Linked DNA regions of Alligator mississippiensis. The protein of the gene in region 2 purifies or fractionates together with the protein of the main gene of each other region. This does not show direct contact. Links are inferred from orthologs where the notes say so. Each region holds a gene or a part of one and is shown on either strand. Other genes may lie near its edges. The genes, in order: TAF6L, USP22, TADA2B and ATXN7L1.

What was found.
Region 1: the proteins of USP22 (region 2) and TAF6L purify together in Homo sapiens (affinity purification with mass spectrometry; 3 studies listed by BioGRID and IntAct, with this or other methods). This does not show direct contact. The link is inferred for Alligator mississippiensis from reciprocal best matches to the Homo sapiens genes USP22 and TAF6L.
Region 3: the proteins of USP22 (region 2) and TADA2B purify together in Homo sapiens (affinity purification with mass spectrometry; 4 studies listed by BioGRID and IntAct, with this or other methods). This does not show direct contact. The link is inferred for Alligator mississippiensis from reciprocal best matches to the Homo sapiens genes USP22 and TADA2B.
Region 4: the proteins of USP22 (region 2) and ATXN7L1 purify together in Homo sapiens (affinity purification with mass spectrometry; 3 studies listed by BioGRID and IntAct, with this or other methods). This does not show direct contact. The link is inferred for Alligator mississippiensis from reciprocal best matches to the Homo sapiens genes USP22 and ATXN7L1.

What each region holds. Positions count from the first base shown.
Region 1 is NC_081838.1:3,250,861-3,257,765, reverse strand, and holds the start of TAF6L (TAF6-like RNA polymerase II p300/CBP-associated factor-associated factor 65 kDa subunit 6L), read right to left. Parts: upstream 3,008-6,905; 5' UTR 2,865-3,007; coding exon 2,712-2,864; intron 2,121-2,711; coding exon 2,034-2,120; intron 1,910-2,033; coding exon 1,759-1,909; intron 1,483-1,758; coding exon 1,432-1,482; intron 1-1,431. Other genes in the region: TUT1 (speckle targeted PIP5K1A-regulated poly(A) polymerase), read right to left, coding at 3,506-4,713, 4,797-4,889, 6,357-6,479, 6,611-6,720, 6,858-6,905. UniProt on the Homo sapiens protein: Functions as a component of the PCAF complex. The PCAF complex is capable of efficiently acetylating histones in a nucleosomal context. The PCAF complex could be considered as the human version of the yeast SAGA complex.
Region 2 is NC_081836.1:54,032,400-54,039,558, reverse strand, and holds the start of USP22 (ubiquitin carboxyl-terminal hydrolase 22), read right to left. Parts: upstream 3,001-7,159; 5' UTR 2,675-3,000; coding exon 2,549-2,674; intron 2,248-2,548; exon of another isoform or gene 2,228-2,247; intron 1-2,227. UniProt on the Homo sapiens protein: Deubiquitinase that plays a role in several cellular processes including transcriptional regulation, cell cycle progression or innate immunity.
Region 3 is NC_081825.1:25,916,943-25,924,853, forward strand, and holds the start of TADA2B (transcriptional adapter 2-beta), read right to left. Parts: upstream 3,009-7,911; 5' UTR 2,991-3,008; coding exon 2,721-2,990; intron 1-2,720. Other genes in the region: CCDC96 (coiled-coil domain-containing protein 96), read left to right, coding at 3,252-3,821, 4,533-5,078. UniProt on the Homo sapiens protein: Coactivates PAX5-dependent transcription together with either SMARCA4 or GCN5L2.
Region 4 is NC_081827.1:26,743,532-26,750,588, reverse strand, and holds the start of ATXN7L1 (ataxin-7-like protein 1), read left to right. Parts: upstream 1-4,043; 5' UTR 4,044-4,178; coding exon 4,179-4,293; intron 4,294-4,558; coding exon 4,559-4,627; intron 4,628-7,057.

The DNA.
Region 1 (6,905 bases), on a different chromosome or scaffold from region 2:
TCGGGTCTTGGCAGGATTTTCCTGTTCCTCTCCCAAGTGCAGCCCCCAGCATTGAGGATCCAGGTAGTTCTGCTACAGACTCCGAGCCCCTCGCACCCGTGCTCCAGAGCCACTGATGCCTCTTTCCTCCAAGGACGTGTCCAGTCCCTTGGGGAACGGGGCTGAACTCCCAGCTCCCCCTGACGTCTGATGACAACGAGCCTCGCGCTCAAATTCCAGGCAGGGGGACAAGAACTGCCTGGGCTTGGTTTTAAACTGCCAACCTGCTGATTTCACTGCGACCCCTTGTCCGTGCCTGGTGAGAGAGAGGCCACAAGAAATCCCCGAGGACTTCCTCTCCCACACTGAGTAGGTCGTAAACCCTCATCCTAGCCCCTGGCTCTGTGCTGACCAGGCCCGTCCTCCTTAGTGTCTCCTCCTAAAGAATCATAGTCAACGGGGGTTGAAGGGAGCTCAGGAGGTCACATCCAGTCCAACCCATGCTCCAAGCAGGACCAGCCCCAACTGCAACATCCCAGCCAAGGCTTCATCTACCCAGGTCTTCAAAACCTCCAAGGATGGAGACTGCGCCACCTCTCTGGGAAACCCGTTCCAGTGCTTCACCACCCTCCTAGTGAGAAAGTTTTTCCTAATATCCAACTTAAACCCCCTTGCTGCAGCCTGAGCCCATTACTCCTTGTCCTGTCGTCTGCCCCCGCTGAGACCAGCCCAGCTCCAGCCTCTTTGCAACCGCCCTGCAGGGAGCTGGAGGCTGCTATTCAATCCCCCTCGGTCTTCTCTTCTCCAGACTAAGCCCAATTCCCTCAGCTTCTCTCCACAACCATTTTCATTGCCCTCTGCTGGACTCTCTCCATGTCCACATCCTTTCTGTAGGGGGAGGGGGGACCACAGCTGGACACAGGACTCCAGATGTGGCCTCCCCCGTACAGAATAGAGGGGAAGAATCACTGCCCAGGATCTGCTGGCAGCGCTCCTACCAATGCAGCCCAGGATGCCAGCAGCCTTCTTGGCAACAAGGGCACACTGCTGGCTCATAGCCATCTTCTTGCCCACTGTCACCCCCAGGCCCTTTTCTGCAGAGCTGCTGCCCAGCCCGTCACCCCCAGCCTGTCCCGGTGCATGGGATTGCTCCGTCCTCAGTGCAGGCCTTTGCACTTGTCCTTGTTGAACTTCCTGAGATTTTTGTTGGTTTGATCCTCCAGTGTGTTGAGGCCTCTCTGAAAAGCCCCTCTCTGGAAACCCCTCCAGGCTGCTAATCCCTTGTTGCCCCTCTCTAGACTCTCTCCAGCTCCTCTCTCCCCACGTGGCGGTGCAGGGACCAGAACGGGGCACAGCACTGGAGGGGTGGGCGCGCCATGGATGTTATTCTTGCCAGGGAGCTCCTGGGGCTGGGGGGCACTGTGCAGGGGCGGGGGATGCTGAGGCTCTTACCGCTTCCCTGAGGCTCCAGGTTCCCTTTCCCATCCAGGTAGGAGACGTGCACTGCGAAGGTGAGCGGGGGGCGGGGGGGGGGGGGGGGGTCAGATATTCCTGCTGATCCCCCACAGCCCAGTCAGATGATCCTCAAAAGCCCCAGCCCAGGACTGGATGGGGAGGGGGTAGCCTGGGTGTTCCCCAGAGTCCCCCAGGGCTGGGAGCAGGGGGCAGAGACCCAGGATGAGCCCAGGGGCAGGGGAGACATCTCCAGCCCCAAGCAGCCACAGCCCAGGGACGTCCAGCTATTGCGGGGGGAGGGTCCCGCCGTGGGGGGCCACATACCTCTGACGGCCGCCTCGGCGCAGCCCTTGGGGATGTTGGTGGCCAGGGCCAGCTCCACCAGGTTGACCTCCCGGTCCTCCTGGAAGTACAGCTCCCCCTCCTTGACCGGCCGGAAGGGCAGCGCGTCCTGGGAGCCGTAGCCGCAGATCACCTAGGATGACCCCCCGCCACGGTCAGCCAGGGCAGGGGGAGGCGCGAGCCCCCTTCCCCCCAGGGGCACGAAGGCTGGGGGGGGGGGAGGGGGGCAGCCGATACAGCCCCCCCACGACACTCACCTCTACATTGCTCCAGCGCAGCGCCCGGTTGAAATCCTCTACCGTCAGCTTGCGCCGCTTGGTGTGCTTCATGAACTGGGAGCTGTTCTGGCAGTGGGGGGCAAGGGGGGCGTCACTGGGACATGGCCCCCCCATAAGGGTGGGGGGCAGTCAAATGGGTATGGGGGGACCGGGGCGTGGTGGGGTCGGGGGGCCTGGGGAGAGTGGCGGGTGGTTTCAGGGGCGCACGCAGGCACGGGGGGGGGGGGGGGGGGGGCAGGGTGCGCGGGACCGGGGTTATTGATGGGCACGAGGAGCGCGGGCGGGTGTGAAGTGGTATCGGGGGCACGGGGATCTGGGGAGCCCACAGGGGCACGGGTGGGGGCCACAGGAGAGCGGGGCCGTGGGGCACTGGTAGTCACCGGTGAGCATAAGGAAGCGGGGGTGGCATCGGGGGGCACTCGGGAGGTGGGGGGGATGGGGTGACTGGGGAAACACGGGGGTGTGGGGGGCACAGGGGTGCGGGTGCTGGGAGATGGGGGACGGGGGGTGCAGCAAGGGGCTGCTGTGGGGGTGGGGATGGGGGCAGAAAGAGCCTGGGGGGGGGCGATGGGGGTCACGGAGGAGCCGGGAGCAGCGCGGGGCGGGGTCGCAGGGAGGAAGCGGGGGGCGTGGCCGGGGGCGTGGCTTGCCCCCTACCTGGGCGGCCTCGCGCAGGCGGTAGCAGACGTCCTCGGCCAGCAGCGCGGCCACGTCGTCGGGCAGCTCCGGGCCCAGCCCCGCACTCTCGGCCATGAGCCGCACGGACTCGCGGGGCAGCTCCACGAAGCGGCGCTCGTCGCGCTCCGCCATGGCCGGGACGACGCGCGATAGCGCGCACACACGTGCGCGGCCGCGCGCCAAGGGGGACCGGCCCCGGCCCCGCCCCCCGGGGGCGCGCGCCAGCCAGCGGGGAACCCCCGGCCCTCTGCTGCCTGGGGATGACGTGGGCGGGCCGCTGTCACGTGACGCCGGGCTCTTAAAGGGCCCGCGCCACTCGAAACCCACGTGGTTCTGGAGCTCTTAAAGGGCCAGGACATGGTTTCTGCCACGCCCCGCCTCCCTTCTCACACCTCTGGGGGGCGGGGTGACCCTGGGACCAGGCCGTGGTGCCCTCAGAGCTTCCCGCCCCCGCGCTGAGCTCGACCAAGCGCCAGAGCCGGTCGTGGGGCGCCCAGGGCTCTGCCAACAGCAGCCGCGGAGACGGGCACCGTGCAGCGGTGCGCAGAAGAGGCTGCCGGGCCAAAGCATCAGCCTGAACCGGGCAAACACGTCTGCCATGTCCCCCCACCCCAAACCCAGAGGGGACAGAGAGGGAGATTTCCCCCCAGCTCACAGGAGACAGGACACGGGTTGGGACACAAGAGCGGGACCTTTATTCTCCCCCCAGCTGGAGGCGGCGCGCACACAGCAGGGCAGCGTCCCAGCGTCCTGAGCCCACGCAGCTGAGTCGCTCACTGGGGGTCTGCCTCAGCCCCAGGCTGGACTGGGCGGGGGGGGCCTGGCTCTAGGTCTAGCTCTGTCCTAGGCACTGGCCCTGGCTCCGGGCTGGCCTCCCCCACGCGGCTGAGGTAGCGCTGGAGCATGGTGGGCAGGAAGCTGTGCAGGAAGTGGTAGAAGTCCTGGAAGAGCGTGGCGTGCTGGGGGGCAGGCGTGAAGCGCAGGCTGGCCTGGGCGTCCAGGCGGGCGCAGGCTGTGAACTGCAGCAGCGGCTCCCCGCTTGCCTCCTGCCGGGCAATGGCCGCCGACACCTTCTCCTCCAGCTCCAGGGACCGTGCGGCCTCCTGCTCGGTGCCGGCCTCTGCCAGGGGACTGCTGTGCTGGGGCCGCAGCTGCCGCCGCACCCGGCGCCGGCCCACCCACACCCGGTGCCACAGGGCGCAGCTCCAGCTCACAGCCCCTGCTTCTTCCAGGGCCTCTGCTCGCGGCCTCTTCCGGGCAGGGGAGACGGAGACAGGGCTGGGGATCCCCTCCTCTTCGCTCAGGGGGCGCTTGAGCCCAGCAGCCGGTGGCGTTCCTGGGGCGCTGGGGGCATCCACAAGCTCCCTGGGGGCATCCACAGGCTCCCTGGGGGCTGCCGGCTGCTGGGCTGGGGAGGTTGGGGGCTCCCCCGTCTCCCCCTGCTGAAGGGATGCCCCGGGGGGCTCCAGGAGCTGCTCTGCATGTCCAAGGGGCTGACGCTGGAGCTCCGTGCAACTGCACTTTAAGACGTCTCTGAGCACAAAGGCAACGCCAGCGCACACGTGCCCAAACCAGCTCTGCCGGGAGCTGGGATCTAGGCCCAGCTCACGCCGACGGGCAGCCGGGGCCAAGGGCAAGGCGAGGAGCAGCCCGTCAGAGTCCAGCTCACCAGCCTCAGGCTGGAAGAGGCGCACCAGGCCCCAGGGCCGGCCCTTGGCAGACTTGCGCTGGTACTGCAGGCTGCGGCAGTACTTGGCGGCCCGGGTGCAGCAGACCCGCAGGCGCTGGGCCATGCGCTCCGTGACGTTGGTGGCCACGTTGTGGCTGCGCTCGAAGGGGTCCTGCAGGGTGACAGGGCCCAGGCGCAGCCCCGCACCCGCCACTGCCTCCAGGGGCAGCACCCGGCCCTCGCACAGGGAGATCACGTGACCTGAAAGCTCCTGTTCCCCGAACTCCCGGAAGAAGTCGGCCAGAAGGACGCCTGGGGGGAGCAGGAAAGAAGTGGGGTGAGGACAGGGATCCCTGCATGGCCCCTCTGCCCCCAGCCCCCCCAACGGCACTCACACAGGCTCTCTGTGTTGGTGTTGGGCTCCAGCCGTGCCGCGTCCCGGGGGAAACTGCAGTCCCACCCGTCCACGACCATCCGCTCCTCATCCCCTGGAAGGAAGGAGATGGTTAGCGATCCCCAGCCACGCCACGCAGACCACATGTCAAGGAGGTCTCACCCCCCAGTGCTGTGCTGGGGGTGTCCATACACTCCCTCCTCATGGAGGCTCCGGTCCCAGAAGCAGCTCCGTCCGAGTCACTGCCATCAGCAGGTGGGAGATGGCAGGCGCTGGGGGGGCAGCTCCCTGGAAGCCCTGATGCACTGGTCAGGGATCACTCCCGTGCTAATCGGGCAACCCCAGGAAAAAGCAAGGGTCCATTTCCCCGCTCCCTGAGCCTAGAGATCATCTCAGGGAAATGGGCTACGGGGCACAAGTTATGACTCAGTTTCCCTGTGCCAAGAGGTCATTAGCTCAGAGATATATAGGCCAAGTCACAGGTCATGACTCAGTTTCCCTGTTCCCTGAGCCAAGAGATTGCTGTCGTAGAGAAACGGGCGGGAATGCAGACATCTGAACCTGAATGGGATAAAACTCTTCCACAACAACTCGCCTCGACCACGAGGGCAGACTCTGAGAGCACCGAGTCTTCATCCGCTGGCGGTGAGGCTGCGTGGTCTCTGCTGGATGTAGCTGTTCTGGGTCACGTGGCCCGATTGTTGGTATCCCAGTAAACCAGCATACAATAACTGGCATGCAATAAACCAGAGCACAGCATCCCAATACACCGGTGCATCATTGGGAGGAACTTGCTTTGGTTTCTCTGGATCATATCAAAGCCCCCAGAACCAGCCTAGGGGTAACACCCAGAGGAGAGGCTGTGCCTTGGTGTCTGGGGGCTGCCAGATGCAAGCCGAGCTCCCCCAAAAGCCCTGGTCCTTTTGGGACTTGGATTTTCCACCCCAGGGTTTCTTTCTAGTTCAGGCTCCCAAGCCCAAGATCATGGAGGCCAAGGCTAAAGGGAGGCGGCTGTGGTGCATCCGGCTTTTGTTTTAACTCAAGGTCAGGGCCTGGCGGCCAGTCCCCTCCTGCCCTGGGGCCTTCCTGGAGCAGGTGGGAAGGGCACCAGGCAGGGCTGGGACTGTCCTGCTCCAAGATAAGGACAGGGCTGAATACAACTCCTGGGACCCTGCCAGGCCTGGCACCTCATGGGCTCCTGGCCAACGAAATGGAGCATGAAAGCTGCTGGATTCAGGGTACAGGGATGTCACATGCATGTACATGCACGCACCCTCCACCCCCGGCTCATGCTCTCGCACACAAGCACACACACACACACCCACACATGTGGCAGCTCCAGGCAGCCCGTGTAACTGCAGCTAGTTTTGGGCAGGGCACATGGCTCTCTCGTGGGCACCAGCCAGGCTTCACATGCCAAGCTCAAGGGGACGTTTTTCGCCACAGAGCTGCCCTTTGCTTCTCTTACTGGTGCCCGGCCTCCTGGTGCTCCTGGACCCAAGCAGCCCCTGCCTTCCCATGCACAGACATGCACAGCCCCAGGGCACAGAGCATGCCCTACCTGCCAGCTGCTGGAGACGGGCCACAGTGGGCAGGATGGGTGGGGAGCGCGTCTGCAGGAAGAAGATCACCAGCAGCGTCAGGGCATAGTTGGTGAAGAGTGGGCCGCCTCCATGAGGGTTACCTGAGAGGGCAGACACAACTGTGAGATGGGGGGCTGTGTCCTGCACCCCCAACTCTCCCCCAGACTGGCCCAGCCCAGAGCCCTGGACAAAGCCACAGCCCCCAGCGAGAGGGGGAAGGGGAGATCCTCACCCGCCAGGCCCTGCTGCTTGGCCCAGTAGCGCAGCACGTAGACCAGCGGTCGCACTCGCTCGTCAGCCTCAGTGCAGAGCTGCAGGAACTGCGTGTTGCACAGACCCAGCCTGGGGAGGGTGGGGGTTGGGAAATGTCAGGGGGGGCAGCCCCCACTCCCACCTTTGCCTCTACGGTGGCAGCTGCCTCAACAACCTGCCCCTCCCAGCGCAGCAGTCCCCAGGCCCCCACGGAGAGCCCGCGTTACCGGTTGTTGAGGGAGATGTCGCCGCACAGCCCCGAGTCCTTGTGGCTG
Region 2 (7,159 bases):
TAAGGTTTTTGCCATGGTGCAACTGCATGTTATACCACTGGTTAAAAACCCCCTGTACAAAGGTTCAGAGCTCTACGAATATTTTAGAGGCCTGTAGATAAGGAGCCCACTTGATGTATCAATCAGTTATAACTGATAAAACTGCATGTATTACAGCCTTTGCTTATTTCTGATTAAAAATATAACTGGAAAATACTCAGCTTTAGAAAGCTACATCTTTAGAATCGTAAAAATATATCATATTAGAGAGTGCACCGGATTAAAAGCTGAAGACTACATACAGATGCAAATCTGTAGAGAAAGAGAGAGAAAAAGAAAGAATAGATGGAAACAAACAGCAAGAAGCAAACAGTGTTGAAATGGTCTTTCAAAGCATAATGCAGTAAGCAGTAGAAGTAACCAAGTAAAGCAGCAGAAATGGACAGTTTCTGCCCCCTGCAGTTTCTATTGCTATCTGGATTTTTAAGACTCAGCCCTTGAAAAGACACAGAACATCAATGTCCTAGAAATCTAAAGACCAAATGTGACCGTTCCACTATCACCAGATAGCCAACTGTGCAACACAACGTGTGCAGCTGGGCTCTTTTGACCAAGAATGGCTTTAGTCACTGAATTTTCCTATTACCGTCCAATTGGAGTTTGGAGCAATCTCTATAAGGACAAACAAGTCACATTTCTCGATGTATATTTCTCTCTGCTATATGCTCGCTGCCTGGATACAAGGAAACCGAGATACGTTTTCTAAAGTTGTTATTATTATTTTTACTCTACCTCAACCAACTGACCAGGACTAATAATGAAGTCTCATCCACAGAGAGAGATTTTTAAACATGAGAACTATGCCCCACACATAGCCACGGACTGCAGAACAACACAGAACTGTTTGCTAGTTGTTAGGCCGTAAGAAGACTTTCCGAAAAAATGCTTCTAGTAACATTTAAGGTGTCAAAAATGTACAGCGTGTACCCAGCTGAGAGAGAAAAAAACAAGAATTGGCAAAGAAATGTGACATGGGTGGGTGGGGCACAACCGCGGCTGGGGCCATTCAGCTCCATGTACATAAAGCTATTACCATCGGTCTCCGAATTTGAACAATAAAGCAAAAAGAAAAGATAATTTCATTACAAAAAAGTCCAAGTGGTACATACCCAAGTATTAGAAGAAGGTGAAATGATTATTGGTGACTGAGTATTCAATCAGGTTACGCAATTAAAGTCAGCAAGTCAGATACCAGCCTCACCAGTCAACAGGGCCAAGATTTCACCCTGTATTTCCACATGTTTCACATGGACTAGAATCCAACAACTTCCAGACCGATCTATTGGTACCCATTAAAATGCTGATTTTTTAGCTTCTTAAAGAATCAATGAAATATTGATGCTTTCCTTCAGAAGGCAGAAGAACTGTCCCTTTGAACTCGTCTCCTTTATACAACCAGCCATACAAGGAGCAAAAGAGGAAAAGGAAAGAGAGTCATTAAAAGATGTGGGTGGAAAAAATATGGCACGCTACTGGACGAAGACTTCCAACTGGCATTCAAGCAGTGACGTGCAAAACACTATAGCCTGCAGGAAAAATAAATATTGTACTCCTGGAGTTTATCACAGCTCCTCAAGAATGACACTCATTTTTTTTAAAGTATTCACTAAAAGGTACAAGGATGTGGGGTCAACCTACAGAGGCAGAAAAGCGTGTCGATGCCCCAGGAACGGTAGAAGTTTGGGAACAGACGAGATCACATCATGAGGCAAAACTAATCGTTACCCTCCAGCAACGGCACACGCCAGGTACCAGTTGGGCACGGCCTTCCCGCCCCGCCGGGGGTCGGGCACGGCCTTCCCACCCCGCCTTTGCTTTTGGGGCTTTCACTAGACATAACTAAAGTCCCGCTCCTCCGCCTGCCCCTCTCCACGCAAGCCCCATCCCACGTATTAAGTTGTGTTTCGGCTTCTTTTCTCCCCCGTGGCACGAGAGAAAGCAAGCCCGGGACCGAGCGCTTCAAAGGAGCAGAGATCCCGAATGTGCCCGCAGTCTTATTTTAGGACGGCCAGACTAGGAAGCGAGGGACCGGCTTTAAACCTCCGTTTCCTCGTGCGCTCCCTCGACTGTTTCTTTTCAAAGAAAAATCTGGCAAGTGGAAGACGGCGCATGAGTCAGACGACTTCTTCCCGTTGCCCGGCCCTCGCGCCCCGCCAGGACCGGCTCCCCGCGCCCCCCCGGCCGCTACCTGTGCGACGCTCGCGCTTCCCCCTCGCAGCGGCGCCAGAAACCTGCAAAGTCATTTTGAAGTCAGAAGTGGCGGCGAGGGGAGCGTGGGTCGTCTCGCAGGGGGTGGGGGGAGGAAATAAAGAGATCAATGGATGTTTTTGGAGACCCCCTCCCCTCCCCTCCCCTCCCCCCCTTGCACAATTGGGGCAAGGCTGTGGATGAAGGCGCCGGGAGGGGGAGGGGGGGGTGTCCGCAGAGGGGCAGGATCGGCACCGGCCGCCCCTTCCCCGCACGCACCATCCCCGCCCTGCCCCGCCCCGCCCGGCCCGGCCCGGGGTACCTTGGCTTTCCTGGTCTCGGCCGAGCCGCTCCACACGAAGCACTGGTAGATCGCCCGCAGGTTCTGCTTCCAGTTCTCCACCTTGAAGCCGGTCACATGGCAGCACCCGGCCGCCGGCGGACTCATGTCAGACCCCCCACATCAATCCGGGCCGCCTCAGCCGCCGCCTCAGCGGCCCCCGGGCGGGCGGGCGGGCGCGGCGGCTCCCCCGGCGCCGAACAAAGCGCGGGGCCGGGCCGGGCCGGGCCGGGCCGGGCCGCACAAAGATGGGGCTGGGGAGGCGCCGCCGCCTCTACCTCATGGAGGCCGGCGGGCGCGGGGGGCCTGGCGGCGGGGGGGGAGGGGGCGCCTCTTGTCCTCCGCCCGGCCGCCGCCGCCGCTCCCCCGGCCGGCCGCCGCGCTGCGCCTGTCTCTTTAAATCTCCCCCCCCCCCCTCCGCGGTGTTTAATGGTCCTCGCTGCGAACTCAACCTAGCCCGCCAGGCCCGGAGTGGGACAGACCAACGAGCAGCGCGGGGGGGGGCGGCCGCGCCGCCATTGGGGAAGGGAGGAGCGCGCCCATTGGACGGCGGCTTGTCACTCCGGCGCCGCCGCCGCCCCGCCCCTTCTGGCGACTCATTGGTGGCGCGGGGTGGGGATGGGCAGCGCGGGGCGCCAAACAGCGGGGAGGGGGCGGGAGATGCGGGGCGAGGCGCGCGGTGCTATTGGCGGAGGCGGCTGCCACTCTGGATTGGCTGGGAGGGAGGGGGAGGGCAGGCGGCCCCGCCCACAGCAGCAGGCTAAGGTGTGGGGGCAGAGCTGCTGTCACATCCGCTTGTCCCTGCAGCTTCTCTGTTACCCCAGTGATTTCCTGCCAGGGGGGCGGGGGCTGCTGCTGCCTCCTGCCCCCCTCCCCCAGCCAGGGCCACAGTGCACTGCAGCCCCACCCCACCATTGCAGTGTACTGTGCCCTCCCTGGGAGGGTCCCTCCAGGAGCTCCCACCTAGGGGGCACCCCGCCCCAGCTTGGCATGCAACACGCCTTCCCCCCATGGCTCTCACGCAAGGGTTGGGCTGGAGCTGTGTTGGGTTTTTTCCCATCTGAGCTGCAGGCCTGTCCCTACAGGCCCCTGGGGCCCTGGCAAAGTCAGGTGAAACTCAGGGGTACCAGGCGGCTGACGTCTCATTCTAGGGACCGCTGTGACAACGGGTGCTCGCGGCGTTTCCAACCGTGAAGCACCCCGATACGACCAAATGGGGCATCGTTTTGACCGGTGAATGAGCGCGGGAAAATGAGAAGTCTGAGGAAGGATGCAAATATTTGAGGCTACGCTCTGTTCTTTGGCTGTATTGCACTACGGAGCTAACAGCAATAGGGAAGAGAAACTGGGAGGAAACAGACAGGCTGTTTGCAAAGGTTTCTCAAAAGCGGTAGGAGGCTGCTTCAGATGGCGGGTGCTGCAAAGAACCAGACTTTTCATCTTCCCATAGCAATATGAGAAGTCGTGCTAAGGCTGGGCTATACAGCGCCGAGTTTGTCAGTCTTGTTTAATGTACACTATTAAGAACTTCCTGTTGGAACCCTGGGCAGTGACCTCGGCTGAAAGTGCTGTATCTGTTTTTGTCAATGAGAACCAATTCTATTCTCGGGTCTGTTGCTACAGCTCCTTCAAATCGGAGAGTGGCGACTGTGTTTCCAAGGGCAAAATTATGTCCTATGTTACCTGGAGCTGCTACTCTTTGGTAAAAGAAAGAGAAATGATTGTGTAGAAACTGCTGAACACTTAAGTCTGTTCTGCGTATTTGCAAATTGTTTGCATAGAACCATAACCTTCTATTTTAAAATAATTGTGGGATTGAATTCTAATAAAAAGTTGGATGTAGCCGGCCCCAGTGAATTATATCTTTCGCTGCAGGCCGGCAGCAGGTTGAACTACCCACGCTGCCCTGGCAACACCTGTGATCTGGGGGCGACTTCCTAGGGTTAAAACAACAGCAGGTCAGTCTCCATGGATGGTGTAATTCCTTGTTTCTCTGCTGATATGCCTTATTCTAAACAGTGTTTAAGGACAATGGTTTCTCGAGCCAAACAGAGGTTGCTTATGCACAAGTATCTTCTGAGAAGAGTATCCAGGAGACTAGAGGTTTGCAAGGGTCAGTAATATCAGGCTTGTTTCTGCCCCTTGTGCGCAAAGGGGCTGGGGTTGGCTAGCACACCTGGTTGTATTGCAATGCTCCAGAAGGGTCTGTCTAGGTGGGTAAGAGTGAGGGCAAGTCCCTCCTTTGACCCTTTGTAACGTATGTTGTGTTTGTCTAGCTCTAGGCCAGCACCGTGGGAATGCAAGCTTCGTGCTTCTGTTTAAAGAGGTAACAAGAATTGCTGCTGAGTGTGCTGCTCCCCCATTGCCCTCCCCCTGTGGAGGAGTGTTTGCTTCTGTATTACGCAAACACACTGCTTCCAACCATGGTTGCTTGGGTGCTACACCACTGAAACCACCCACTCCCCCTAAATACATCACAGATGTGATGAGCCATAACTAGTCTTGCAATGAGCTCTGTGTGGGTAGACACCCCTGTAACTGTGAGGCACCCTGTTGATTCCAATAAAAATAGTTCAATGTTAAGATATTTCGCCAAAATACCATATGGCTTGCCATGATATCACAGTCTTTGTGTCCAAGGGGGTCACTTATAAATGTAATGAACAATAAGGAAGAAGCCAGAGTACTGACTAACCCTTCCTGTTTTTTCCCAGGCTGTTCCTCATGCCTGGGAAGAGCTCCCGGTAAACACCTGCAAAGCTTCCACATTGTCCTCCTTCAAACCCAGCACTGCCATGTCACCTACAAAAACCTGAGGGCAATGACCAAATATGCTCTCGATCTTTCCTTGTACTCCTTGATTTGTGTGGATGCACCAGTCATCTCCTGCCTTAAAGTTGGACAGTGAGCCTTTTGGAGCAGGGACTGTCTTTTCATTTGTGTCTTCATTCTTTCATTCTCTTGTTCATTGGTTAGCATAGTGGGGTCCAAATGTGAACTAAAACAAAGCCCTTTCAGATAGGGCGAAGATGCCCCAGGATTAATTCCATGAAAAGAGCCAGTGAGAAAAGACTGCGTGTGCACTCACTAATGACCCATCCTCCTGTTAACAATAATTGCCATAAATTTCAATTGTAACAAAACCACAGCAAGTGTACAGCAGATGTATCTGAAAGAGATATCTCACCTAAGAAATGTCATAAGCTGTTTTTAATAATAATGATCTTAGGATCTACCAAATCCCTAATAAAGACAAAGGAACTGAAAATATAGATCCTGTACATTTACTAATCCAACAACTCTTTTATCTCCTCAAAAGAAAATGCGAGCATGCTATGATGGCACTGAGACATCATCTGTGAAGAAGTAAATCAGTGATAAAGCTAAGTTCTCTTAGATCTTTCTCATCCATCTTCAAAAGAGCCATCAAAGAAAGTTACCAATTAGTTTTAATTCAGAAACCAATCATCAAATCCCTAGCAGTATCTGACAACCTGCCTCCTCCCCATAGCCTTAAAACTAGTTAAACTTCTCCCCTTGTTCTCATCACTGTGAATTAAACCAGCACATTACCTGTGATCATTTGGAAACAAACTACATGTTGTAAACAGCACGCTCACTGGTAGGAGCGTATGTGTCACATTATCTCATCAGTAGCTGTCCCTCTCATCTATCTTCAGATGAAGGCAGCCCAGTGACTGCAATAAAGTTTTTGCTCCTGACAGTCAGTGCTGCAAGAGGAACAAGGAACTGGTAACAAAGCACATTTCTAGAGAAAGGTAGCGAAACTCACTCATGTAAATAAGAGTATCTGCTTTGAGGCTGGAGACGAGCAAGCTCAATCATTTGCCAAATAGTTTGAACATCAGCCATACTTGGCAAGCTCAAAACTTTTGAAACATAGCTAGGCTATTCAGATATCCAGCCACCCATCCCTTAGTCTGCTCTGTCAGCAGCAAACCAAAGCTTAGGGAACTCTCACTGCTCCCGACTGGCCCAGTCTAGCACTGCCAGGCAGGCATCAGCCTTCATGGAAAAAGGGGCACCACCTTGCCCCAAATACCTCCTCTCCCCAAGTCTTTAGAGGGCACCTGGAAACTCACTAGTAGATCCTGCATTCACATGAGGTCTCACTCATATTGATCTTTCCAGCATGGTCTGCAACATCTCAGCTGCAAACTGCTTCATTCATTTTTATACAAAGGTAGCAATGAAACCAAGTTCTGAGTTTCTGCATTCAACTGCCACCGTTTGTTTGTGTGGCACCGTGGTTGGATTAGTCATCTGCTGCAGAAGGTTTACAGCTCTCCAGACATGAAGGCTGGGACAGAGACTCATCCAGTCAGCTACTCCTTACCCCTGTGAGAGCCAGGTGGGAGCAAGCATCCATTAAACAGAAGAGAGAAGGCAAGACCACTCAGGAGGTAGCTCAAGAGGATGGAGGCCAGTGCAAATCTAATCTGTAATCAGTACTGTTTATACTGAGTGGGCTGAATATCTTCCAATTAAAAAAATACTTCAGTATTAATATAATCCATATCTAAGCAGAGCAGTATTTGCCCATTCCTATTCAATGCTGGAACAACCTGGTGT
Region 3 (7,911 bases), on a different chromosome or scaffold from region 2:
CTAGTTCAGTTTTCTCCTCTTCTATACATTAGAAGACAAGGCTAGACAAAACATATCCAGACTGTGAGAAACTTGAACCCTGATCAGATTTTACTGCTGTTGTAACTGTTGCTTAAAGAAATCACAAAACTATTGGCTGACAAAAGCCTTCCAAGAACAAACAAATGAACAACGATAAAACTTCCATTACTAGGTATCTAAATTAAATGGAACAGCTTTGGATGCCACAGTGCTGTGCTTGTATCTTAAATAAATCAGCTAACACTGCATGGCATGTAGCTAGATCAGACTGTGTATAAAAGGATGTTGCTCTGGCACTGCACAGTCTTCCAGAAATGTCCCTCGCTCCCGCAACCCTGATCAACAATGAAACAGTTAACATCAACTTTGCAAGTGCCAACATCTTGAGTTAACATTTCCTGCACAGGAGCTGCTACTTTGTTTTTTAAAGACTCAGAAAGACAACAGGACATCCCATTCACTTAGTTTTCCTTCATCTGACATCATGTTCAGAAATACACAAAACCCTGTAGCAACCTTGTTTGCTGAGCTCCAAATAACTATTCTTAAACACTGGCATTTTAAGAACTGACTTGAACATAAAACTGCACAACAAAAAAGTCATCCACAGGTTGTATTATGTTAAATACGGTCTAAGCAGGGACTACAGATTCTTATCCCATTACCTGGATTATCTTTAAATCCTACGGCTTTGCTGTTCCTGCCATCTCCTTCACCTCTCTCAGTACTGCCCACTCTCCCTTCTTCTCCTCTGTCTTTAAATCGCATGTAAAGCAGGAGGACCATGGTGGCTAATGCCCTGCTGTTGCAAAGGTTGTTAATACAGGCTCAAGAGATCAAAGAAGACTGCCACAATCCCTGCTACAGAAGAAGGCAAACCTTCCAGTCCATACCAATCTGAACTTCAGGTAAAATTTTTTCCTGACCCCAAATGTGGTGATCAGCCTGACGCTGAGTGGAGAGGCAAGACCCTCTAACTGGGAACATCTGGGTTTAAGTCTCAGCAAGAGCACTGGTACAACCTCAATCACAATCTGCAACCTTGGCTTCAGCATAGCTTGCTATGTCCCTTCGCAGTGTCCAACAGAGACAGCTGTTGCTCGTGAAAACTTATGCAACCCTGATTTGGTTACCCTAGGCACACCTACCCTGCTTCTGCCCGACTTCAGGATAACATACCTGATTACCACTCACCTGAACGAGCTAGAAACCAAGTGCTCCCCCACCTCTACCTCAGCATAAAGATCTTAGGCTCTGCCAAAGCTCAGTCTCCTGAGCCAAGGTGGACACATAGTACTTCACTTGGACATCACACCAACATCTGCTGCCCACCACAGCCAGAAAGCAGCTGCACACATGAGCTGCACAGTGACATGAGCCTAGCAGCTGTCAAGAAAACAGATGCAAGCGAAGCAGAAGCATGGACAGCACGGGCAGGCCGGAGGCATCAGAAAGAAGCATCCGACTTTTGGAAGCTGGGGCAAAGTCAGTACCTGACGACAAAGGCTCTGGTGCTGGAAATGACCAAGCTTCCTGTAAGCCCTTGGGGTGCAAGATGCTGCGGTGGGGCAGGGCAGGAAGGAGGCAGCAGCATGGGACAACAGGGTCTGCAGCACCATGGTGTCAAGGACTGGGGATTTTACCAAGAGGTTAAACAATAGATTGGTAGATGGTTTGGGTAGAATCAATCACAATCATGGAGTCGTAGGGGTGGAAGGGACCTCCAGAGCTCATCTAGTGCAACCCTCTGCCTGAGGCACAATCATCCCTATCCAAACTATCCCGTACAATCTGTAATCTAAGCCAGGGGTCAGCAACGTTTTTGGGCAGCGTGCCACAAACCCTTTCTGAACTCGTAAGATGCTGGCGTGCCGGGAGCAGACGGCAGGAGAGCTGCGAGGGGTCTGATCCTTCTTACAGCAGCGCAATCCCAGCCCCTCCTCCGCTGTCTGTCCCAAGACGCACACACACTGCTGCTGGCACCGAGCTGGACCACAGCTCTGCAGACCCCAGTGCAGCTGCTTGCGGCCTCCCCATCCCCTGCCGCGAGCAGCCTGGGATCCGCAGTGGATGGCCCAGAGCCCAGCCCGGCTGTGGCAGGCATCTGGGAGACCAAAAGCAGCCGTCTGTGGAGCCCCAAGCCGGGTGGTGCGCGTGCACCTTGAGCTGGACAGTGGGAAAGGGGCTGGGGCTGCCACCAGAAGGATCCGGCCCTCGCAGCTCCCCCACAGCCAACCCCAAGGACTGAGCAAAATGTCTTCGTGTGCCGCACTGGGCACGCACCGGGGTGGGCGACCCCTACTTCAAGTTCTGTGTGATGCGGCCGCTAGCCTGGGCGCGCGTGCCACAAACCTGACACGCGGCGCAGGCACCTACCTTAGAGGCCTTCAAAAGAAGGCTGGGCGCGCGCCTGGCTGGGGTTACGCGAGCCCAGCCGCCCAAGCAGGGGGACCAGACCTGATCCCACCCTACGCGTGTGTGGACCGGTGACAACGGGCCCAGGTCAAGCAGGGGAACCACCGCCCGCTCCCGTGGCCCCGCGTGGAGGGAGACATCCCCCTCAGGGAAAGGGGGCGCCCTGCCGAGCCCGGGGGCGATGCCCTCCTGACCCCCGAGGAAGGGGCCGGCTCGGGCTGGGCGGCCGCTCCCGCTCCCCTCGCGGGCGACGCTGCGGGAGCGGCTGCCGGCCGCGTCCTTACCCAGTTGCCGAAGCCGAACTGCTCGATGGCGTCGAGCAACAGCTGCTCCTCCCGGCTGCTCCAGCCGCCCTCGGCCTCGGCGCCCCACAGCGTGAAGCGGCCGCCGTCCACCAGCTGGTAGCCGTGCCATCGGCGGTGCGGCCCGATCTCGGCGCCGGCCGAGAAGCAGTCCGGGCACAGCTCGATGTCGGCGCACTCGGTGCAGCGGAAGCGCAGGGAGCTCACCTCGGCCAGGCAGTACACGCAGTACTTCTTCCCCAGCTCCGCCATCTTCCCCCGCCCCGCCCCACATTGCGCACGCGCCGCCCCGCCCCCGCCAATGGCCGCGCGCCCCGGGGGTAGGGCCCCGCCGCGGCCGCCCAATGAGCGCCAGGGGGGCCTGCTCCGCCCCCTCCAATCCCGCCGGGGCGGCGGGGCAGGGCGACAGCGCGCGCCCCAATGAGGGCAGCGACGCCGAGCCGGTTTCCCTTCGTTACAACCAATCAGAGCCCTCGTGGGGGGGGGAGAACCGTTGCTCCGCCCGCCGTTACCATGGAGACGGGGGAAGCTGCCGCCGCGTCTCAGGGCGCCATGGAGCAGCCGGAGGAGGCTGACGAGGAGGAGGAGGAGGAGAAGGAGGAGGCCGAGGCCGAGGCGGAGGCCGAGAGCCCCGAAGCGGGCTCGGCGGCGGAGGCGCGGCGGCGGGCGGAGCTGGTAGAGCAGTACCGGGCGCTGCTAGTCGAGCGCGAGCGGCTGCGCCAGGCCACGGCGCGCCAGCAGTTCCGGCTGCGGGAACTGCTGCTGCAGCGCGGGAAGCGGCCGGACGAGCCGCCGCCGCCGCGGACCGAGCCCGACGCCGAGGAGCGCTACGCGCGCTGCCTGGCCGCCCTGCACGACCTGCAGGCCCTCCGCGCGCAGGAAGCCGCCCGGGCCCAGCGCCGCCGGGCCGCCCAGGAGACCGCCTGCGAGGAGGCGCGGGGCCGCGCGCGGGCGGCCGCCGCCGCCTACCGGGCCTGCGTGGCCGAGGCGGCGGCGACGGGCAGGCGGCGGCCGGGCGGGGAGCGGGCCGAGCTGGAGCGCCTGCAGGCCGCCGAGCAGCGCAAGGACGAGGAGATCAGCCAGGTGAGGCAGCACGGGGCTTCGCGTTACCGTATTGTTCTGTCACTAAAGTGCGGGAGTACACCAGGAAATACGGCAGCAAGCGCTCCTGGGCAGGAAGGAAAGTCAGGTTGCTATATCTTCCTGTCAGTAATTGGGATGCGTGAGTATGCAAAGAAATACAGCAGCGAGCGCCCCACCAGCTCCTGCGCAGGAAGGAGTGAAGGTCGCGTTACTATATTGTCCTGTCACTAGTTGTGATGCGCGAGTACACCAGGAAATACGGTATCAAGCGCTCCATGAGCTCCTAGGAAGGTCACATTGCCGTATTTTCCTGCCAGTAGTTAGGGTGATTGAGTATGCCAAGAAATACGGCAGCAAGCAGCCCACCAGCTTCTGAGCAGGAAGGAAGGAAGGCCACGTTACTGTATTGTCCTGTCACTAGTTCGGATGCATGACTACACCAGGAAATACGGTAGCGAGCACTCCATGAGCTCCTGGGCAGGAAGGAGGAAAGGTCACATTACCATATTGTCCTGTCGGTAGTTGGGGTGCGTGAGGATGCCAGGAAATACCGTAGCCAGCGCTCCAGCAGCTCCTAGAAAGGAAGGAAGGTCGCATTACCGTACTTTTCTGTCAGTAGTTAGGGTGCGTGAGGTACTTTTCTGTCAGAGTTGGGGTGCGTGAGGATGCCAGAAAATCCTCACACCTTTCTGCCCACTCCCACCGTTTCAGGTACGCCTGGAGAACATCAAGCTGAAGCACAAGATTGAGCAGCTAGAAGCAAGACTGAAGGCCCAGGAGGAGCTGGCTGAAGGGCTGCACCTCATTGACTTCGAGCAGTTGAAGATCGAGAACCAGACCTACAATGAGAAGGTGGATGAGCGCAACGAGGAGCTGCTGAAGCTCAGGAAGAAAGTCACCACCACAGTGCAGGTCTTGACACAGCTCAAAGAGAAACTGCAGTTCGTGGAAGCCGAGAACCAGGAGAAGAAGGTCGAGTTGCTGGAGATCGAGGCAGTGCTGGCACAGAAGAGAGACGTGCTGACCAAAACTAAGCAGGCCAGGGATCGTTTACGGGCAGACAATCAGAGGCTGCAGCAGAAGTGCGGCCTGCTGGGGAATGAGGTGCTGCTGCAGGACTTTGAGAACAAGGTGGATGCTGCTCAGGTGCTGAATCAGCAGCTGGAGAACCTGAAACAGCACCATGCTGGTCTCACCATTGCCTGCAAGGGATTCAAGAAAAAAATTAAGGAAGCCAAATCCTTTCTATCGCCGTGAAGATACCGGAGGGAGGCAAGATCTTTAGAGACACCAAAACCGGGGGTGGGGGAGACTACAAATAAAAGTACTGGGAAATACCAAATATATATTTTTTTTTGTACAGGCAAAAGAATAAACTAAATATTTTACTGGAAAATAATCTCCTTTCTAAAGCATGTTTACTACTATTTATTGTGCAGGAGACTGCCATGCAGTTCTGCCTATCAAATGGCCCTTGAAGAAACCAAGCACATTTAGCCATTTTTTAATTGAAATATTTCACACTTAACAACATATCTGACATTGTAACCCCTGGCAAAGACCGAATCAACCTAAAGGTCTTCTGGTTCTGCTATTAACACATCTTGTGGCCTCTGCAGTTTCAGTTTCATTTTTGGAAACTCAAGCATACTCACCTGGTCGTTAAGTACATTTTTTTAAAATACTGAATTTTTAAAGCTATTTCTAAAGCTATGAATGTGCATTACACACACTGTTTTTCTTTGCTGTTCCGATTAAGAAATTAAAGGTAAAGAATGATTTGATGCTTAAGGTCACTACAAAACACAACACTAAAAATACAATATTTCATAGTTGATCTTAAAATTTCAAACCCAGTAGTCATGGTGACTCAGCTAAGAAGTTAAATCAGTGGAGAATTTAATTCCAGAAGCTCTGATTCATTAATCATTAGATAATTTCAACTACATATTCAACATACGTGAAAGTCTTCTGAGAAATGATAGACCGGAGGTTGTAACATTCCAATTACAAAATAAAAAACAAAAATACCATCATTACTGTCCCGTTCTAAAAATGTGCACACAAACTTGTCTTGAAATGCATTGGCCAAACTAGTGGCAACGAGACTAGTACATGGTGCTAAGAAGCTTGGAACAGGGGCTTACCCTTGCTTGTTTCTCCAAATGATCTCTATGGTAGATCTTTTATGGGGTTTATTTTTTTGAACCACTTCACTTCAAATATTGGCATCACAACTAAAAATGGATGCAAGAGGGCACAATTCAGTCTGTAGCAAAGAAGCAGGTCAGTTCAGTACTGAGAACTTGAGCCTTATTATTATTAAGCCATCCCACACAGGGTTAGCATTGACAATATGGTCCAGTAAGTCTTGCCTTGCCTCCTCTTAGAATTTAATTTGACCAGATGCCCCGGAAGAGCAGTTAAAAGATCTGTCTTTTAAAGAACAGTTAAAAGATGCAGTAAAACACACTACAAGTCACACTTATTTGTACGTACTGAAGCTCGACTAACTGCTAAACCTGCAGTAGTATGGAGGCAGTTTGAAAAGTAGGGTGTTACTTAAAATACATTTTACTGCAGAGTTAATAACTTTGTACCCATCACTAGTCAGTATAAGAAGAAAATTATCTTAAATCAGAAGTGTCAAAAGCATCTAGCCCTGCAGGCTGGATCAGTGGTGCAGGGCTGGCTACCCCTGCAGACTGGATCAGGCCCACAGGACCTCTCCCTCACCATGCTAGTTCAGGACCTGGTATGAAGAGGCTGGGTACTTGGCTGCTACCATGGGAACAAGCCACAGTATCAGACTTCTTACTGCCATGCTGCTAGGGCTTGGCTCCAGGATCGCAACTCTTGCCTGGGCACTTTGCTGCTGCAGGAACAAGCTGCAGTCTTGGTCTCCTTTCTGCGGCACTGCTGGGGCTCTAGCACTGTTTCTCTCTCCTGGGTTCCTGGCAGCCAAGCCAATGACAGCTGTGCTGCTGGAGCCCTGCAGCTGCAGCCAAATGCCTGGGCAAGAGCCATGGCACCAGAGCCCCAGCATCAGCATGGGAAGAAGCCTGGTGTCATGGGTGCTCGGCTGCCGTGGGAACAAGCCACAGTGCCAGGCTTCTTCTCTCAGTGCTGGAGCCTCAGCAGCATAGCAGCTCATACCCAGGTACTTGGCTGCAGCCATGAGAAGGTCCTCCCTCACCCCCATCAAGGCTGTGAGCCATATGATCTGGCTCTGCAAGCCAGATGTGGCCCAAGTACTCTGTTTGACTACCCTGGCTTAAAAAAAAAAGAGTAGTCTTGTGCAAGTGAAGCACTTGTTTATTTTTGCATTTTGGTAAAAGGTGTAACAATACAAGTAAAAGATTCCTTGAACCAGAATTGCCCCATCTACTTTGTCTCATGTAACTTGTAGATCAACTTGTAGTTTTATCCCTATGCCCTCTTCCATACCACTTGTGAAGAGAAACCACATTTTGTGCGACTCTCCCAATTCTAAACAGAGTAGCAAAGTTACTCCTATTCACTGAACCAGTTTAACTTTGGTCCCAAAGCCTTGCCAGGATGGCTGGATTTTCTTTTCAGTAATCAAGCTGCATTTTTCTTTGAGACTAAAAAGAAATTTTAAAAAGATAAAGTTTCCCATAAGCTGTTTACTTTAATAGACTAAAGATCAAGGGCTAACATTCCTGTTGTTTTCACAACCATGGGAAATGACAAGTGATGGGGACAGCAGGAAAGAGCTTCCTTGGAAAACTCCTCTGTGCTGGCATTTGCTCTTTGCTCTTGAGTTTGTAGATAATTTGGGCATGCATGCGTGCACATGTACACACCCAAAAAACTCCCCCAAATGAGAAATATTTACACTACAGCCTCATGTACCTTTCTAAGTATTTCCTCTTTGTCAATACAGTGACAAAACCATTGCAACTTTGTGGCCTTCTAAAACCCTCCTAAGAGATTAACTGTAAATTATGAGGTGATGCCAGGGGATCTATAAATATAAAACCCTTATCCCTCTTCTGTGAGGAAAAATATAACATGGCACAAGTCAAAAGAGATAAAAATCCTCTTTATTCACAAGCTCTGTGTTAAC
Region 4 (7,057 bases), on a different chromosome or scaffold from region 2:
TTTGCCAGTGCTATCTCTGCATGAGTTCAGTTACTGAACTACAAAGTCCCATGACTCATATTTAGATTTCCATTCCCACCAGGTGGGCACCTGGGCCTCTTCTGTAGCAGATAACCAATCTGGCCTCTAAAGAATCACTTCTATCCATATTGGAAGGAGTTGCTGTTGTAGTAAATCCATTCAAAAGTAACATTCTTAGAAATACTAATGAATCTCCTTCTAAACTGCTAAACTTTAATGGCTTTGTTACAAAGGATTGGCTTTACATAGTTCCTTTAAGACATTAAAGGTCATGATATAGCTGTTTCTTTTAATACTTTTACAGATAGTCTACATTGTATTTTATAAAAGTGCAGTAAGAAAGTTCAAACTATGTTTAATTTCTATGTCTATAAATTCTGTAAAATAATGCATACAGGTGAATCTTAACTAGAATCAAAGACCAGAGCATAGAAATGGGCCTTCACTTGGTTTTGGTTATTCTATGCTCCGGTCTTTGATTCCAGTCAAGATTCACCCGTACAGATCATTTTACAGAATTCACAGAACCAGAATCTGAACCTATGTCACCAGAGTCCTAGCCCAGAACTACATAAAAGCCATCTTTCTTCCATACCTGATGAATTGATACCTGGATTTAATTTTGCAATACATTTGTTTTACTGATCTCATTTTGTAGCCATGAATATTCCGTCAAGGGTGCCAAGTGAAGTTAAAGCTTTTAAAATATCTGTAAAGCAGGAAATATTCCTATAGGGTCACAGTTTAATTATTCATTTCTCAGTCAAATCTTATTTCTTTGTATTACCATGTTGGTCAGTTATGTTACTATTACAATGTTGAGACTGTTACAGAATAGTTTACTGTTGCTGCTAACATAGATATCCACAGGTGTTTGGGCTGAGGACATTTCTACTTTTGTATATTGGAATAATTACTCCATTTGATTATAAGGAAATTTCCAAGTTAAAGAAATGTCTAAATAAATTTTGGGATGTGTTCAATACTTTGTTTCAGCATCTTCCTTGGTACAGCATCTTCCTTGGTATTATCTGGTATAAATCATTTCCTGACTTGGGGTTTTCAATATTTTTTAATGTCCATGTTGTTACAGATCTAGTCCAGCCGCTCCTCAGGGTAGGATCACCCCTGGTTAAACCATCTCATTCAAGTGTCTTCCTACCATGCTCTTGAAAATGTCCAGGGATGGAGATCCTACAACTTATCTGGGCAGCCTGTTCTTCCTAAAGTTCCTCCTAATCTCCAACCTAAATTTCCTCTGCTGTAGTTTGCTCCTAGTCCTGTCTCCTACCGCCACAGAGAAAAGGGTATCTCCATCCTCTTTATAATCACTCTTCTGATATTTGGGGACTGTTATTAAATCCCCACTCAGTCTTCTCCAGACTAGTCCTAGTTCTTTCAGCCTTTCTTCATATGTCATATTTCCCAGGCCCCTAATCATATTTTTTTTACTGTGTGTTGAACTCTTTCCAATCTGTCCACATTTTTCTTGAAGTGTGGGGCCCAAAATTGGACACAATATTCTAAATGAGGCCTTAGCAGTGGTGAATAGAGCAAAAGAATCACTTCCCTTGATTTTTCAGGTGACACTCCTCTTAATATGACGCAGTATACTGTTGGCTTTTTTGCAACGAGCACGCTGTTGGCTCATATTCAGCTTATACACCTTCAAGTATAATAACATGTATTTCTAATGATGCATTTTGTAGGAGGAACAAATTCCTTTGTGCATGCCATGGAAGTGATTTGCTCAAAATTGACCTTCCTTGATTGTTGAGGTTTGTTTCTTTCCAGGAAGTAATCAGACATATTGCATCTTCAATTCATGCTAATTTTTCCTTCATATGGTCTGATTTTTGCTTCTGTTAAACCATGGATTGCAGCTCGGCAGTGTGTCATGAAAAGCAGCATGTAGATTAGTGCCATGTGTTGAAGTTGGAAAGTTCCCTCATAAATTTCTCTTAGTTTATGGCAGCTTGTATCCAACTGTTTTTGTTCCTCCCTTATTTTTAGTTGAAATCTTCCTTTTTTTCAGGTTAAGTGCTTAAGAATTGCTTTGCTGCTCTGAGGACTCTATATCATCTCATGGGGTGTTTGGCCATACATATTTTTCCAGCAACCTTAACTGGGTGTTCAGTCACCAGGATTTACTAGTTGTTCTCAAACCTTTCCTTTGAGTCTTGTCCTCAGATGTAGACCTTGAATAACTGGTAGAGGTTTTATGGTGTGATGCTTGTCTGGTGTCACTTGTTTAGCTGGCTGTTGTCTGTCTGACTCCTTTGACTGTTAACATTTATTTTGCATAAGCTTAAATTTATTGTATGATAGTCCAATCTCGCTTATAGCCTTTACTACATGTAAAGCTGTATCTTCTTAAGAGAGTCCATCATCCTTTTGTAGTGAGAACACATTGACAAAGGCCTTGACACATACCAAGGACTTTCTTTCCCATTTGTTGAAACCATAACTGAATTTAAGAGGGGTTTGGTAGGGAAGTACTTCCTTTTCAAATACATGCTTATTTTCCTTTGTGGAGGTTAAGATTGGTTCTTGCCTCATTTCTACCTGTATGCTTTGAATGTACTTGGATATTTTGATCCATGGCCATGCATGTTGGTTTTTTATGAAATGACATAGGAACATAAGACTGGAAAAGATCTTCTGGGTCTTCAATTCTAGACGCCAGCTGTTGTAGGCAGCCATGTTAAATAATTAATTTCATTTCATAAATTCACCAAGCATCATCTTAAAAGCTAGTTGTTTCTTTTGCCACAACTCTTCTACTAGAAACTGTCTAGAACCTCACTCTGATAGTTCAAATCTTGTAATTTCCAACCAAAATGTATTCATGGCCAGTTTATACCGATATGTTCTAGTAAGAACCTTGTCTTTTCACTTAGGTAATTCTTCTCCCTTCCTGGTAGTTTTAGGCAGCAATCAAAGCTCCCCTATCTGTTCCAGTATGTATTTATCTTTTTTGGAACACAGATGAACTAGTGTCCCAAATGAGGTTTCATGAGGGCCTTGTTCACCGGCACTAGCACTTCCCTTCTACCTACAGGAAATACCTCTCTTGATACACCCTCAGATAGCTTTTGCTTGTTTCCCAGGTGCATCAGGTTGGTGGCGCTCAGTCATCCTGCGGGCAGCTCGTTTTTCTTTGAGACATAACAGGAGACCTGTAAAACATTCCAGCGTCTTTACCCTTTGCTCTTGTTACAGGTCTCGGGGAACGCCGATCAGCCAGCCCTCGCAGCGCAGCAGGAAACACTCTCTAAATGCAATCAGAGATTTCAAGTTGGCTTTAAAATATTAAGGATGAGGTTCCTAGATGCCAGCTGCTTCTAGAAAAAAAAGAAGTGGTGGATGCCATTTGACAGGGCAGGCGAGGCCAAGGCTCTTTTCTCCAACGTCCACCCCGTCACGGACAAACCGCCGCCAGATCTCCTAGAACTGAACCTGCCCGCGCCGCTGCCACCACCCTCCCCAAGTGGTGCTGACCCAGTTGGAGCCAACGACACCGTCAGGTTGGCGCTCGCCCGAACCCCCCGAGAGTGCCCCTCACAGGCTCCCAGGAGAGCACGCATGACACCCACAACTCTCCCTGCACCTGATGAAGGGCGCCAGTGCCCCAAAGCTTGCAAAGAACAATTTCCCCAACTATTTTAGTCGGTCTAATAAAAGCTATCCCATCAAAGACGCTGGCCTGCCCATGCCCTCAGACCCACAGGCTACCCCCTCCCCTCCCAAGGCAGGTTTGCCCTCTGGGGGCAGCAACAGCTTCTCACGCTGGCTCTGCAAACTCCTCCCCGAGGCACTCCGGAGCCTGGATCCCACGCGATGGCCGGGAGGGTGCCCGCGGCAGCCCCGGCCCCGCCCCCCCCTCAGGTGCGCCCCGCCCCTCACCAGCGCTGCCCGCCCGGCGCTGCTGAGGGCAGCGGCTTCGCGGTGCGCGGTGCGCAGGCGCGGCGCATGCGCGCGGGGGGCCGGGGAGCCCGATCTGATAGGGAGCAGGGGCTGACACTACCCCCGTGTGGGCGGCGGAACGTCCCGAGGATGACGTGCGGCGTTCTCGAATCCCGTGCCTCGCTCGCCCGCTCGCCGCTGCCGGAGGAAACGGGGAAAAGCAACAAGGAGGCAGGAGCCGGAGCGGCGCCATGGCGGCCCTGGAGCGGCCCGTGCCCAGCCCCGAGGCGTTCCTGGGCCAGCCCTGGACCGCCTGGGTCCGCGAGGCCGCCCCCCCGCACGCGCACGGCGCCGCCCCCCCGCACAGTAAGGGCACCGCCGCGCGCGGCCACCGGCCGGGTCGCCGCAGCGCAGCGCAGCGCACGCCCGGCCCAGGCGGCCGCGGCCCCTGCCCCGCGCTGCCCCCGGGGGCCCCGCCCCGCCCCACCCGGGGATGCGGCGCCGGGCGGGACTGGGATGCTGCTGGCGGACGGGGGCGGGGGCCCTGCTCGGGCTGGTGCTGGTGCTGTGGCGGGGCTCCCCAGACGCGTCCCCTCCTCTCTTGACTCTCCACTTGGCTTCCCCTCTGCAGGTGTCGACGTAGAGGAGCCTGGAAAAGAGGGTGGGAAAAGCCGTGAGGTGATGAGGCTTAATAAAGAAGGTAAGTGCAGCGCCCCTGCCTCGCCCCACCTGGCTAGTCCTCCCCTGGCAGCTCAGCCTCAGCCGGGGGTTGTTGGGCCGGACGCCTTCCGCACACCAGGTCAGAAGAGGACACCAGGGAAGAAACGGCAGAGCTCGTGCTGGACTGGGGTCTGGCATGGACTTTTTCAGGGGCAGGCCCTCCGCGGAGGGCAGTGGGGGTGGGTGCGCACACGGTACGAACTGTGTAGCGGGTTTTCGGTGTGCTTTGAGCTGCCCAGTGAACTGCGGGGGCCACTTGCCAGTGTTGGCGGTATACATATACATTTATTTATATCTATAGAAAAACATATTTTTGCAAAAAAAAAAAAAAGAAAGAACAGGATGCCATCGCTCCGCACCAGCTTCTGAAGTAGAAACGTGACGAGGGCACGTACAGGCTGTGAACGGGGCACGAGGTGATTTGAGGTGAAAGTCGCCCTGCATACAGCAGTGGCCATGTTGGATTTCTTTCTAGGTTTTGTCCACTTTTATTTTTATTTTTTATTTTTATTTTTTTTGGCACAACCCTTCCCTCATTTCAGTGTGGAAGAGGCACATGCGTGCAGCACTGCACATTTTACACCTTCACCTCATTAGCAGCCACCGCTGGAAAGACACCAGTAAGGAGCAGGCTTTGCTTGCTGCAGAATAGGCGTGTGGTAATATTTAAATTGGCTCACGTTTTGACCGAGTTGCGCTCGGTTTCAGGCAGTCATGTGGTGAGCGTGATTACGCGGAGTTGTGTGGCCGATTCAAGATGGCAGCTAATTTGAGCGATTCTTCGTACTGAAAAACAGGCCACATCGATCCTGTGAGGAAAATTTAGGCGTAAGGTTGTCATTTAAAATATTACGTTTTCTGGTTTCATGAGTATGAACACAGATAAATCCCAGCTTACTCACATGTGCAAATATGCTATATTTAACAGGAGACCATAAGTTTGTAAGCAAAGCACCTTACATGGTGGATAGTAAGGACTGAAAAAGACAGATTTGTTTGTGACGTTATTTACTAAGATGAAGCTTGTGTGATGAAATTCGTGAACCAGCATTTTGGAAATGTTTGTATGTGGCTGCAAATTGAGGAAGCTGTGCTGGTCTGTGTTGGTTTGAATTAGGTTTTACAAAGTTTTAGCCTAACAGCCACCAAAATATTTTTGTGAAATTGGTTCATAAAGGACAAGCCCGTAGTTGTAAAACTTTTATGATAACATACGTAAGTTGAGAGAGATCCCATTTTTTATACTGGATACTCAAGTATTACAATAACGGTTTTTTAGAATATATATCATGGAATTATGTGAACTAGACTTTTACCATGTTGTCAATGTCACTGTATTCATGCTAATGTCAATACATGCGGGCGACTTAAAGGTAAAGAAAATGTTTCTTTTCAAGATCGTTCTTGAATGGAAAAAAATCTGGTAGTCATTAAATGAAAAGACTATCAAGAATGTGTGAAATACTTCAGTGACATTTTTTATTAACGTAATTTTAAAATAAACTCCTTAGCCAAACATATTTGATGGCACCTAAATAGAGGTTTGTAAAGTTGGGCAAAAATTCAAGGGGCTTATAGCTCAAAAAACTTTGACGTACTCTTTCTTGATTTTATAAAGAAGACTTTTGCTCTTTAACCTTATCTTCTGTAAAAAGTTTACTCTGTTGAGATTATATCCCGTCTTGGAAGAGCTCAAATGGCAAATCCATGGTTCAAGAACTTGACTTCTAGTCATAAGCATCCTCTGTTCAGTGCAACATGCAAATAGCTTAATTCTTTAGAATAATTCTATATAGTTGTGAGCTGTAATCTTTTCTTTTTCATCATCTGCAGTTGTGTCTTATGGATGACTAGGGTAGGTTTTTTTTGTTTTGTTTTGTTTTTACATATATACCATCCAGTAAAACACATTTCCAGGTATGAAGTGGAAGTCTTAAACTTTGTTACCGAAATAGTAGCTGAAAGGTATAACACATTAATAGCATTTTCACAGTAGTACAGTAAAATGCCGTTATTGTCTCTAATCAACCCCAGTTACATTTAAAAATAGAACACTTTAGAAATTTCTCACTGCTTCCAGATAGGAACTTGATTTGGGCATCTTTTGAAAGGATTTTCAACCTTGAATACATTAGCATGTGTTGAAATACTTGTGCCTTATTCATTAAGATAATAGAATTTTAATGCCCTACCCATCACTATAACTTTATTCCTTTTGTAAATCTTGAATTGGCTTGTGCTGCTCTTGTTCTTCAGGATTCTTTGTACTTCTGTTAACAAGAGTCAGATATGTAGAATGTACTGCATGCATGTTTGTAATGGTACTTGGGAGCGTAATATGATGTCGGATATACTTGTCTTCTGTGGTATGAAAGTGCTGTTTGGCTACAACCAAGAGTTGTGAATCTAA